Linked DNA regions of Drosophila melanogaster. The protein of the gene in region 1 interacts with the protein of each later gene in a pairwise test. Each region holds a gene or a part of one and is shown in the gene's direction. Other genes may lie near its edges. The genes, in order: CG12708, Lk6 and CG32369.

Evidence for each region.
Region 2: the proteins of CG12708 (region 1) and Lk6 interact in a two-hybrid assay, tested with the Drosophila melanogaster proteins (one large-scale study listed by BioGRID).
Region 3: the proteins of CG12708 (region 1) and CG32369 interact in a two-hybrid assay, tested with the Drosophila melanogaster proteins (one large-scale study listed by BioGRID).

The regions. Positions count from the first base shown.
Region 1 is NC_004354.4:15,673,849-15,678,356, forward strand, and holds CG12708 (uncharacterized protein), read left to right. Parts: upstream 1-1,627; 5' UTR 1,628-1,839; exon of another isoform or gene 1,840-1,955; intron 1,956-2,515; 5' UTR 2,516-2,558; coding exon 2,559-3,776; 3' UTR 3,777-3,889; downstream 3,890-4,508.
Region 2 is NT_033777.3:11,761,364-11,766,490, reverse strand, and holds the start of Lk6 (Lk6 kinase), read left to right. Parts: upstream 1-2,033; 5' UTR 2,034-2,844; coding exon 2,845-3,007; intron 3,008-5,127.
Region 3 is NT_037436.4:7,806,754-7,811,444, reverse strand, and holds the start of CG32369 (uncharacterized protein), read left to right. Parts: upstream 1-1,619; 5' UTR 1,620-2,448; intron 2,449-4,691.

The DNA.
Region 1 (4,508 bases):
TATTTACGATCTCATTGTTTGAACTCGATGAACTCACAACACTTGAGCATATTTAATTGTGCCACCACCAGTTGCAATAAATTGTATCCTATAGCACTTGGTGGTCCGGAACTGCAGTGTCATATGAAATGCTAAAGCAGGTCCTGGCACTTCCTCAGCGAACAAAAAGTTGTGTTTAGTTTTTGCACAAAAACTGTCAAATAAATTTAGCAAGCAATAATATGGCGAAAGCAAATAGTAAAGATTCCAAAACTGAAGAATTGGGCAGATGTACGGTTGAGATTTAATTCTATTTTTCTCAAACGGACAATCGGCGGCTGCGAAAATATCATAAATTTGAGATCAGCAGAGAAAGCAGGAGGGAAAGTGAGGGAAGGTAGGAGCAGGACGGACCGGGAGCCCTTTAACCAATAAATTGCAAAACAATTGCACAATTTTCCACAACAATTTCCACAGGACAGCGATGTCCCATAAACAATGGGCCAAATTTGTACAATGCCCAAAGTTCCTGTTTGTGTTGTCCTTTTCTTGGCGAAAATCGTGAGAGAAGGAAGGAAAAATCGGAAAGAATTGCCTTGCTAGGGTCTAACGACTATAAGATACCTATTATTTAAACCTTTTATATATTTATGTTAGAAAAAGTTGGCAAATGATGCAAAACAGTTTCATCAATTAAACTAAATAATTGTAATCATTATTCCGATGAACTTGTTTAAACAACAACAGAAAGTCTTTTCAATATCAAATGAAAAACTAAAAATCCTTTAAGACCCAATGTTTTGTTCTAACTTCCTGTAACCCACACAATCACAGGTCTAGCATACTCTCAGGATCCCAAAAAAAACACAGGGTATCTTGAGGAGTCCAAGGTGAAAGGAGCCACACGCTGCGAGAAAGGTAATTGAAAATTATGTTTTGTGGCGCAAGCGGCGATGAGAACAGCTGTCCAACTATGCTCCGTCCCACTCACACGCTTCACAAGCGCCGTCCCTTTCTTGTTGCACGTAGGAATCCTTGGCCAACTGATCATGATCCTTCTCGGTGGCCAAATAAAAAATCTCACGATCGTGGAAAATTCGCACAGCTGTTGCCAGATCGTAAATCGATCGGTAAACGGTTATAAAAACTGAACATCAAGATAACGTTAATGTAGATCAAAGCGCAGCCTTCTGCTTTTCAATTTGTATCGCATTATCTAATAAATAGAAATATATTAGATAGTTTTGGGAAGTACGAGTCTACGAGAAGAGGTAATTGTATATATATATATATATATATACCAGATTCGATAAAAGGTATTGAAAGGGTATGCTTTTAGTTATAGTTGTTATCATGGGAAAAGTGAGAAATACGAATATTACAACTTATTTAAATAATTTATATTATTATCAATGTTGCAAAGTATCTTGCATAAGTTATTAAAGTCAAGTGGACTGATATCAGATGCGAAATACCTTTAATTACTATAACAACGAGTGGTCTCCCACCACCCGCTTTCAATGCCGCCGGTTGAACGTGCCTGCCGTTCAACTGCCTGATCTCTCCGCTCTCGCTCTCTTCCCTCTGCGCATGAGCAACATGTCCGTTCGTCGCCTTCTGCTTTCTCCCGGTTAAGGCGGCTAGCCAGTCAGTCAACCAACAACCGGCGAAGGGAACGCACGCAGTCGATCTTTGCCAGAAAAACGCGACGGTTGAAACGCAACACTTGGCAAAAAAAAAGCACTACATATACAAACTACCAAATAATCAATTCTTAAAATAAATCCGCGAACCATTTATTTTATTTTTTTGCTGTTGGAAATAAATATCAGTGCCGAAAAAAATAAACTACTGAAAAAGGTAAATTCAAGTGAACATCTAAAGATGACTGAAACTAAAAATGCAGTCATGTACAATGAGATCTAAAGGCTCATAAAAATAAATGGATATACCTAAAATAAATTACTTAAGTGCCTGTAAGATTCATGAATTCATTCATTAATGGTTATGAATATCTTTTCAAATAATTCCCAACATAACTGGATCAATGCAATTATAAATGCACAAAAATTCAATTTTTCGGATAACTTGTGATTTTTGGTTTTTTGGTATCCACTCAAGAGCCAAATTTGAATGCAACCTAAAAGTTCATTAAGATTTCATAAGAATAATTGAGCATATCAAGTTCAGAGTCAATTAAATTATTAAGGTCCAGACCAAAGGCTGCCCGTCGTCCATTTAATTGTCCGTGAGAGGAGTGGTTGATTTCGTTTTTGATTTCATTTTTGCCGCTTCGCTGATTTCGCCAAATCGATACACATCCATATACATATGTACATATGCATGTATATATGTATGTTTGTCTACATGCACATTTATCGCGGAAAAAGCGCGCCAAAATTGCCGAAAACTCGCCCGACAACTTTGCCGCTGCCCTCTTTATTTATTTGCTCCTTAAGAAAGTCAAGTTCTGGAATGCCAGAACCAGAAATACCCGCCCCCTTCCTAACCAGATTCCTTTGCTCTTTCCTTGCAGCACCCACTACAAAACCGAAAAACTAAAACTTCAGACAAAGAAGATGCTCAAGTGGGCCGTCAACCAGCCACGACCCTCGTACTTGGCCAGGGATGAGGTGATGGCCACCAGCAGCGAGGCAGTCGGCTCCAGCTACAGCGAGTTCCACGCCCTGCGTGGCAAACTCAAGAGGAAGTCGATCGGAGTGGCGCCAGGCAAGGAGAACCAGCTGACCTCCACGCCACTGCCGGCCAGCTCCTTGAGCCTCCATGCGCGCACACCACTGCTCAAGGACCTCAGCAACATCCTGGCCACGCCGCCATCGGGAGGAGCAAGTGGCGCTAATGGGGCAACTGGAGGTGTAACTGCTGTTCCCCTGAAGTTCGCCTGCACACTGCCCACCTTCGAGGCGGAGTACTCGCCCAATGCCGCCATCATTCCTGGCTCCCTGATCGCCCTGCGCGGCATGGGCATCCCGGACAGCTACTTCGAGAAGCCGCGTTACCTGGAGCAGAAGCCACTACCACATCCGCATCCGCATCCAGCACCTCCGACCGGCGAACAGAATACGCTCAGTTCCAGCCAGATGGGCGATGTGACCCTGGAGCGCATGATCGATGCCATCCTCGAGAGCAACCGCAAGGTGCTGCCCAACGCCAGACAGCAACAGCACCAGCATCAGCACCGCCAGCCCAGGCAGCATCTCCGCCAGCGGCACAGGCTCAGGCAGCAGGTGCTCCGGAGCAGCCACGGACACGGGCACGGCCCCACCCAGACGCCATCGCCCACCTACCGCCCCGCCTTCGATCCGGCCAGCGATCTGTGCGAGTACTGGAAGTCGCCCTCGCGGAGGGATTCCCTGCCAGCGGAGGGCTTCGAGGAGCGGGAGGTGCGCTCCCCCGTGCCCACCGTATCCGAATCGCAGGATGCCAAGCGGCATTCCCTGCAGCTGCGCAGGCAGCGGGTGGTGCGGCGCAAGCGAAAGATCACCACAAAGATCTCCTCCAGCGTCAGGCAGTCGGCGCAGAAGCTGCTTGCAGCGGCCAGGTCCGGATCCATAGCAGCTCCCGCCCAGAAGATGCGCCACATCAGTCCGGACAGTGGGCACAATTCCACCAGCGACTGCGAGCTGGAGGAGGAGCACTGCCAGCTGAGTCGCGGACTGGAGTTGGGTGGCGAGGAGCTGGAGGATGCCTGTCAGCTGGATGCCATGTGGTTGCAAGTGCAGGCCAGAGACGCCACGAAGAGACGCCTCAGCTTCTCCCTGGTGGAAGAAAGCTAATCCTCAAGGATATTCCTATACCATAGGCATAAGACATTTTTTTCATAGCCCTAAGAACGTTTTTTTTTTTTTTAATTTTTTGGCCAGAATAAATCATTTGGAATGCAGAATGTACGAAAAGAACCAAATTCACTGAGGGGCACACTGTCATAATTCGGTTGAAACCACAAGGAACCACCAGCAGTTTATGCTAAACACCTCTTGAAGCTCAGCGGTGCGTGGAAAGCAATTCCTCCAGAGCAGAGGGTCTGGGTCTTCTCATCCGTCTGCCCAAGTGGTCTTCTTTCTCACAGCGAGCTGGTTAATGAGCGTTTTAATGCTCCGATAGCGAGCTATAGGGGATTCCTCGGCAACATGGAACATAGAACTTGGCGGTAATGAGGGCCCTAAAAGGAAGGGGTTGTGCGACAATTGTCGCAAGAAAAAAAATATTATTTACGCTTCAAATGCCCACGAATTCGATGGGCAGGCAGCCAGCCAAGTTATGTGCGATCTAACGCGATAAGGTCTAGTACCTGGAAATGGAACAGGTATCACTTGCTCGGAACTCCATTCGAGTGTTATTAGCTCAAAGCGACCTTTGGAAAAGGAAGTTGCCTAACTTTCACCCGGGAAACTGCGATTTACCACTGCTTTCAGCGGAAACTATTCTCTGAAGGTATCATAAAATCATAGTGATGAGTTATGAAGCAAACCCAGTTTCGTAGATAATCCTTACATAATTAAGATACA
Region 2 (5,127 bases), on another chromosome or scaffold:
AATCACTCAGGGATAAAGCCTCCAAAAGAAAAACATAAAATAAAAATGCAATATTTTAAACGAAGTGAAAAAAGAAAAGAAAAATGAAACAAAACAAAAGAAAAGAAAAGAAAAGAAAAATTTAATCTAATGAGGAAGTACATTTTAAAGTTACAAATATTTTAGAATAATACGAGAAGAACAAACTAAAAATGTTTTAGAAATTTGCACAAATTTTGGCATTTTATAAACGCAAAACGAACCATCATCAACCAACTAAAATGCATAACGAACGAACAAACAAATGACGAAATAGATACATATTTTCTCACACTTCATTGGCTTATCGAAGGTATAAAATCGACAATTACAGGATAGATCTAGATCGCAACACAGCCGAACCGACGACGATCGACTTCACAGGCTGCTGGCAAACGGTCCGTGCAACTTTTAGTGCATTTAAATAAATTATAAACACAAAAACAAAAGCAAACACAAAAATGATCGAAGGAGCGTAAGCGAAACATAAGCAGTTCATATTTACAGGAGCTAAATAAGTAATGCGGGGGGTTTGCGGCCAAAGAGAAGTTAAATTGTAGTTAGAGGTGGATGGATTAATACCCTAGGATGGCATTTAGGGCAAGGATCAGACGAAAAGGGCGCGTAGCATTACACCTTTTACATTAAACGACGATACGATGCCGCGCATCCAATTTGAAACTGTACGTATTGAATTTATGTTTAGTGTCTGCAGCATGCGGGGGATGTGAAGGAAGGAAGGAGGGAAGAAAAAGGATCGACGGGCGAAGAGCTAAATACATTTAAGGGTTAGATTTTCTGCGAAAGGACTGAAGTTAAGGCAACGTAGCGTTTAAATGCAAAATTGAATTGAATTGAATTGATGACGAAACCGAGTGTTATGGATAATGGAGCGTGCGCGAATGCGATTGGTGACGAAAATTACTTGTTTTAAGGCTGGACTTATGTAATTTCGAGCAAAAACGATAGTAGCGAAACAAAAACATGTAAAATGCAGATATAATATTTTTATAATTAAAACAAAGGTACCCCCACCCCACTACCCTTATCTTAATATGTTTAATTCAACTGCAATTATCGTTAAAGACGTATTTACTGTTTGTGATCCAAATTCATTGATTAAACGTAAACTACACAAAGATACAATTGTTGCATGGGCAAGGTTTGAAGTCCGGGTTCGCAAAGTACCCACAAGTACTCGATCCCCGGGTCTCAAAGACGAGGAAATCACGAGTCAATAAGCCAGGTTTAAAACTTGCAGGTGCGTCGTCAATGGCTCGCAATATTTTCCGGTCGGGCCAAATCCGAAAATGGCCTGCCCGAAAATTATACACACCTTACAGGACCGAGTGTTAAGAGTACTTTTGGACTCTCTGCGAACCCATAGAAATAGAGCAGGAACAGTAAATTGTACTTAATTGAAAAATGATATAATAAAACACCGCCACTTTGAAATATATTTACTTGAATCAAATAATATTAATGAGTATATATAACTTTGTACTTGAATAATATTTTATTTATATTTACCTTAAGTCAATAAAAATTCTAATAAATTATAATCACCCAAAAATGCATTTTGTTCAAATGTCGAGGGGAGTTCTTTTCAACTGCTGATTGGAAAATTGATGCCTTTTATTATTGATATTTGCGAATACTGATTGACAAGCTGCGAACCTTGAGTAAACGTATTCTTCCCAAAAATAAAATATAAAATAAATAAAGAAGGCTAATAAGTTTCATAGTGGGGTGTAAATTAAACAATTCAAAAGAACCGCCCAACTGTGGTTTATAAGCTTGGCGCACTACGCCAAGTAAAATACATGTAGAAAACGTGACGGCGTTGCCACTCTTATTGTATTTAGCTAGTTTAACCACCAAATAAACAGCGAAGTTCTCAACCATATGTGAGTTGCGTAGCCATACTACATTTGAAGCAAAAAACCCTAGTGTCGCTGCCGTCTTGTGGTATTTTCGTTGGCCCGAAAAACGGTCCTACCAAAATGGTACCTCCGGCCACACGGATGAATTCGTCGTCATTCGTCGGAATCATTCGAACTTTGAAAATGGATCGGTAGCTGGGAAGGAAACTTAAAGCGAAATACGCAAAGAAAACGGCTTTTGTCCGCTATTCAGCGATTTTTTTTGTGTTGTAATCAGCAGAGGAAATTTTAACGACCAACTCCACCGCCACACCAGCCATCTCCAGCAGCTCCGGAAAATAAAATAGAACTAAATTAACGCCTCCATCACTACAACAACCATCTCACCAACAACTACAAGAGCAACAACCACAGCAACAGCACTACTGCACCAAGCCCACAAAGAAGAGGTGAAACGCAAAAATCGCAATACCCGAAGAAAAAAACAAAAAATATCGCAGATAACCGAAAAAAGCGGTGCAAATAGATAAACCCCATTTTTTGCTTGAGCTTTTTTCGCCTGTGTGATGAGAGAAATCAGCAGCAGCCATCGATTACAACAACAACAGCAGCCACACCAACGACGACTCAACCACCAAACCAAGAATAAATAAACAGCGGAGAGCGATAGATAGAGAGAGAGAGAGAGAGGAGCATCTGCAGCAGAATTGAATCAGTTTTTTCATCAACCGCCGCATTGTATTAAAAACACAAAAATCCCATAGGCGGCCACCATTTTGATTTTGAATGAACTGAACGAGAAGAGAGGAAAGAGCACGAGAGACTGAGAAAAACTGCTGCTCATTTGTTGCACCGTAAACCCTTTTTCCAGCTTGTAAGCACTCTGCCTGTCTCACTCTAATCGCGTCCAGGAGCACCGTACAGTAACAACAACAGCAACAACATGGTGGAGCCCAAGTCCGGGACAGCTGCTTCTGCCGCTGCTGCGAAAGCAAGCAACAACAATAACAACAACCACCCCCGTGGATCTGGGGACAGCGGCATCCGGAGTGGCAGCGGCATTTCCTGCAGCAACACGGACAACAGCTGCAGCCAGAGTCAGTCAGGTGAGCAATTTGAGTTTCTAGAACTCTGGGAGTTTGACACTAAATTCCCATAGCTGAGAAGCAAACTGTGATGCATGAGATATATTTTGGAAACCTTCTGAAGAGATTTCGCATATTTGCGCTTCGTGTGTCACCAGTTTAATTTTAACTAGACAACATGTTAACAGAATGATGAAATAATTGCAAATATTTGCTCTGACTGTGAATTTGGCAGCTCTTTCGTATAAATTTGAACTTCTACCTATTGGAAATTCACCTGTATCTCTGTCGTAATATTGTTGTATTGCCTAAATATAAAGTATATTTCGTAGGCAACAGTTATTTGCATGCCAAAAGAAAACAAAAGCCTTATTTAAGCATATAATTATTATTTTGAGAATGTGACAAACGTTCTTTGCTTCTTAAAGTTGTACCTATAAAATACGATTTGTAGGATATTTCTGCTAAAATGCAATGGTAAAAAAAAGATATACGTTAATGTAATATTTTGTATCGGAAGTTATACTTCCTCTAAAGTTCCTAACCATATGTATGTATTATTCTGCTTGTCATTGGGTGGGGACTGACTACCAATCAGAGAAAAGACCCGACCATTGCTCCTACGCTTTCATTCAGTGGATTTCTAGTCAGTTATCGGCAAAGCTGGGCCAGGCAGCACTTTCGTTTCGTTTACCCTTGCTAATCAATCGAACGAACTAGGGAGCATTGACTGACTGGGCCACGTTGCGCACCGGGTGCCGCAGTGTATTTCCTTGACGTCACACGATGTTCGAGAACATGCATGCTGTCTGCCTGCCGGCGCCCAACCCCACCACCCACTCCGCTTCCCTTCACCCACCCCGCACAGTCTGTGTGGTGTTTACAGTTGTTTTGTTTCGCCAAGAGAACCCCATTGCATCATTCGACTGGGGCCATTAAGCTGAATATAAGTGTGTATGTGCCCTAATTTTAGGGGTATTCCAGCATCTGGACTTTATAACCATCACTGGGGGTGTTATTATTGTACACAAGTTCTTAATTATATGTGGGATTTGATATATGCTATAAAATAACAATGACAAAGATCAACTAAATCCACTAATTAGTCATATTCTAACTGGAGGTTAAACTAGAAGTTTGTTGTTTTCGTTTAGATAGTGATTATAGTCCATACTTTGTGTTTATCAAAGATAATCTTATGAAACAGGACAGATTGTTGTGTAAATATGCTAGATACGGTTGGGTTGGACCACTGACATCCACTAATTCCACTAATATCCTATAAAATCGGGCATAAGTGAGCTGCTTTGAAAAATCATGAAATCCATATGGGTAAACTGCTGTACAATAGGAATATATTCACACATACATATGTAGATTTCAGCACCAATAGTTACCCTTTGTAATTAGACCAGTTGACTGGTATAAATTCGCATAATATGATTATCAATTTAAGCAATACTAGATTCCAAGCACAAAAGGGTATTCCTTTTCCCTGCCATTCCACCAACACCACCAAAGCTGCCGGCGAAGTGAGAGAGACGGCACTAGTATCTGTGCCAGCTAGCCGAGACCGAGAAATTGAAATTGAGCGTGTGCAGGCAGTTATGGAAATGGAAAATGACTCATGATGGCTGATCGATTGAGCGTAATGCACTGACACTCGTGTTCAAATGCGTATTCGTGCCCAAAATGCAGCGAACGCGGCGAAATGTGAACAAACTACGATTATAACCTTCATGACGTTTATTGCACTTGGTGTGACGTTCGTTGCTTGGCCTCCCACACATATAAAATGTGTGCGCCCATTAGGAGTTGTGCTGGAGTGGATTTTGCAGCTGCAATCAACTGAGTGCAAAACGCTGTCAATTGGAGCCCACCAGCTGGAAACTTGTTTTCCCCCCAACGATCCATAATAATTTTCCATAATTATCGAGAAGTTTTTCATTCTATCGAGGCCTATCGATAGGAGGACATCTAGTGGTGCCTACGTGCAGCCTCCTCCGATTCATGAAATCAGCCCAATATATCTCTGTCTCCCTTGCTCGTTTGCGCAAAAGCCCTGAGAGAGAAATTTATTTTTTAGCTGTGGCAATGCCGCAGTGGAAAAAACGTCAGCTGAGGCATATGTGTTGTTTACT
Region 3 (4,691 bases), on another chromosome or scaffold:
AAAATAAATAATTTGTTTGTCAGCTTCACACACCTATTTCAAATTCAGCTGAACCAAAGCCCAAATCGGTGATATACACTATTATGCAAAAAACATAATAAAGCAAAAAAAAAAAACTGAAACTAATTTCCTCATATATTGCTTACAAAATAAACATTTCAAACATGAAACTCGCAGCTAATTTCCGTTGATGAACAACAAAAGCAGCGCCAACTATTTGAGAAATGGGAGCTGTATAACCGGTACACAGTCAAAATTTAATTATATAATTGTACATGGTATTAAAATATATGGTACTACTAAAATAACGTTAATTGCTAAACAATTAAAGATTATTGAGATTCTACAACTCAGAAATTTGAAAATATATATTAGAATAAATTTTGTTAATTTTAATATGTTTTAATCTGTAAACTTTCAAGCTTTGTTTTTTTTTTGAATGCAGGCTTAAACCAGACCCAGACCTGAGGCAAAGCAATTCGATTACTTCCCTATGGGGAAATGTTGCAATAAATGCGAGCAATGCTCAAACATAAGCGGACTCCACTCGCCCGCCCCGCATATTTTTATACTGTCCAAGACTTACGAAAGCGAAAAATGAGTTAACAACAACGGCCACTCAAAATGTTAATGGAAACGCAGCAGCAGCAGCAGCAGCAGCAGCATGAAAACTGGTAGTATGCAGGCAACCGCTAACAGACAACGTTGAACTTGAGCTTGAAATACAAGCCAAGCGGAGCCAAAAGAGAAAGACGGGAAGTAGGGGGAGGGGAAGCGATACGCGGTTGTTATAAGCCAAGTTTGTCGACAACTGCATTTGTTGATCAACCCAAATGAGGTCAACGCGTCGTATACGTAATTTGCGTTAAATGACAAAACAATATGTAATAGCCACACAACACTTACGAAACGCAGATATTCGATATTACAGACGAACTTTAACAACTCTGAGCTCTATCGGGATAGGAAATCTATAGCTTCAAAACCTGTTTAAGGATTATAAAATTAATACATCTTGTAATGACATGTCTGAGAATTAATCAACTTATATTTTCACAGTTTAATCTATTGTGTATTTTGTTATACAAATTTCGTTATTAATTTTATAAGTTATTTGAGTAAGCTTTTATTCTATTTTACATAATCTAAAAACTATATTTGCGTATTAAACAAAATTACAAAATTTTATATATGTAATTTAGTTTAAGTAACAGAAAATCGACCGTATCTGTTGTGATTATTGATGTTTGCTTGGTGTTTATATGGCTGTAGTCTGTTGAGTGGCGCCGGAAATGCGCATCATACGATAAATGACGCCCACTGGCAAACTAGCACCCCCAACACCACCCACTATCCCCCAACCCAATAGTTTTGCAAATCACCCACCGCAGCCCCCGCTGCCCCATCATTTTTCTTGGCGTCGCCTGTTGTGACAGTTGACGGTTTGCCGGCAAAAATTAAAAAAAAAAATAAAATGCCAGAGAGAGAAGTGCTAAACAAAGAGAGCTCAAGGCACAGACATCGATGACGCAACAGACACATCCACGGAGGCGTAAGAGAGTCGACCCCAAAAGAGAGCGCCAATTTTTCGCTCCAAGCCAACGACTGACTTTTCACAGCAGTCATTCGCTGTTGAACAGCGGCCGTGGCAAGTTCAGACAGCAGGGAGAGTTTGAAAAAAAAAACCAGGCCGTAATACAAATACAAAAAGCAAAATAATAAAAATTATACAAAAAAAAAGTATGAATAATAAAAAAGGCAAATAAAAAAGCAACAAAGTGGAGCGCACCCCATAAGCAAATCATCGCCGAGCCACTCGAACACGTTGCCGCCGTTGCTGCTGTTGTCGCTATTTCTTTCGCCCAGTGCGTTCGCTCTCTCTCTTTCTGTCTCGTCGCGTAACGTAAGCGTATTACAAAACAAACGCCAACGTAATCAAAGAAATAAATAAAATAAAATAAAGGTGCTCGCTCGCGTGTTTCTCGGTGTGAATAAATGAAATAAATAAATTAGTCACAAAATATAAAAAGGGGGTCCAAGTGCAGCCCCCCCCAAATTGCCGCACACCCTTTACGAGAAAGAAAGAAAAAAAGTTAACCCGTGTGTGCGGCGGGGTTACGTAAAGCCGACGGACAAGCGCCGTTCCAAGTTCTTACAAAACAAAAAAAAAAATATATATAAATATCAAACAACACATAACACGAGTGAATAGATTCCCCAATTCGATTTTTTCGCACGCGTGTGGCTATAAATTTTTGGCAAACAAAAATATATACAACTAAATACAACAACAAAATTTTAAATAAATTGCAAGAAGAAGAGGGAGAATTTCGTGTGTTAGTGTGTGTGTCTGTGTGTGATTCTTGAGCAACAGTACACGCCGCACCCCCCGCGAAAAACCTACCCTTTTTTGGGGAAAAACAAGGAGGCGCGGTTCAACAGCGACAGGTAATTCCATTTCTGCGCTCTCTTTGCCACTCTTTCGGGTTCTCTTTGTGTGTGTTACGACATCAAACCACATGCTATGCCTCTGTTTTCAATGTGAATGAACGCTCGACAAAGTTGCGTTTTCAAAGATTGGCACATTCAAGTCTCTCTCTTAGTTTTTCGCTCTTTGTCGGGGAAAACAGTTTTTCATTTGCTATCTGCAATGATTGTGAAAACAAAAAGTGCACTGCTTGAGTCTAGCGGAGGGAAAACTGCAGGGGCGGCTCTTACGTGTTGCCATATTTTTAAAGGCATTACTAAGCGTTTTTTCCGCGCTGCTTTGTTGACGTTCTGTGGCCAATTGAATTCGGCCTGCACTTGATAATCATTTATATTTAATGTGTGATAAAACTTCCGTGGAAAAATATATATCTTAACGATTTCGCGATAAATTAGCTCAGATAAGCAAAAAACAAATGGTGGAAAGAACGATTTGGGAATTTTAAAAGAAGTAAAATTAAGAAAATAAACAATTCAACCTCGTTAAATTATAGTTGACACAAATTTTATATACAAAGTTAAAGTATATAAAATATAACTGGTAAAAAAAAACGTCAGTTTTTTTCATTTTCATTTCATTCATTTTCCTTGAATCTGTCGCGTTGTCATCGCTTTCGTAATTCTCTGGTTAACAGTTTCCAATCCCCGATAATCTACTAAAGATTCGCCAATTTGTCGGGGTCACCACCCAATATTCGTCAGCTACCAAAGCGAGAAACTGGGCTCCTTCCCTCTCCCCCCCTCGACCGCATATGCCCCTCTCACTCGGTTGACGTTTAGCGTTACGACACGCAATGTACTACGAGTATTATGCGACGTTTGCTGCCAATGAACAAGCCGCAACAACACAGTTCGCCCACTTGGCCCAAAACGAAAAACGCCAAAGGGGTTGGGGAAATGCTGAAAAAATATGGTTAGCTCGAAAAGAGGAAAAACCTATTTGCATACGTCATCGGGCGAAAAAGGTTCGTCATGACTCAGAGTCGAATATCGAGGAAGCCAGACTTCAAACAGCTGGATCGTTGTTATATAAACCAAGTCAAACACTACACCGAACTTATGTAAGGCCCAAAGGGACCGGGCCAATTAGTCACAGCGAATGTGGGGGTTCTTGTGTAATCGGTGTGAAATCAAAACCGAAAACCTGAAAAATCACAAACTATGTAGAAATTTTTGGTTGCTAATTGGCTTGCCTCAATAAATTCTTCAGCCCAGTTTCTTTTGTAGTTATTTTGAGCTATTTATATCAGCGTTTATCGCCGTCGTCATTGTCGTCCATTCGAATACAATGTCATAAAACGTGTGAGCCAAGCAAAAAACGGCAAGACAAATGAGAAACCAATAAAACAAATATCAAAGAAGAAATCAAAATGTACAAAACCAAATAAACGCCAACATTAAGGCAATGAAAATGTATGCGATTTCATAATTACGTCGAAAACTACCATCGGAGCATAATCACTTGGTTATGCAATTTATTGGCTTATGTGGCGTGATTACTTGGCGATTAAAGAACTCTATCAGAAGTTCTTGGGATTTTAGGAAATTGGTGAAAGACTTAAACAACTTTGTAGGAATTTCCACACCTGAGCTGTTGCTCATATCGTATTTGGGTACATGAATGTTCATGAAGATGAATCATTTGTTGACTCATTTTCATAAGATAGCAATTTCATAGTTGATACAGAACAACTGTCGTTTTCAATCAGTTCTTTACAAGCAAGCAAATAGTAATTATTTCAACAATCGCTCAATGAGTTTATCACATTTAGTGCTGTAAGTTCCTTTATCGACTTCAATCACTGCGCGCCTACAATCACTTATCGGACTTAAGGCAAACAATGCCTGAATTCAGTTGACTTAGAATACTGACAAACGCCGTTGTAAATGTAGCTATATACACATATTATATGTCAACGCTGCCATTTTGTCTGAGTGACGACGGACAACGGTTGTTTGTATCTACGATTGACATTGCATAATATTGTGAAAAATAAAGCAATCTACGCTATAAGCTATTGCCCTGAGGGCGTGTTCAGGTAGCCGGGCTTCACATATTTGTTATTCACTTAGGAACAATTTATCGGATACGGATTATGCAATAGGACTTTACGTACACGGAACTGCAACCACGATTGCACCAGGATGCACGTGCAGTTATATGAGGCGTATACATAATTTTTACTTACGCAAAGCCGAGCGGC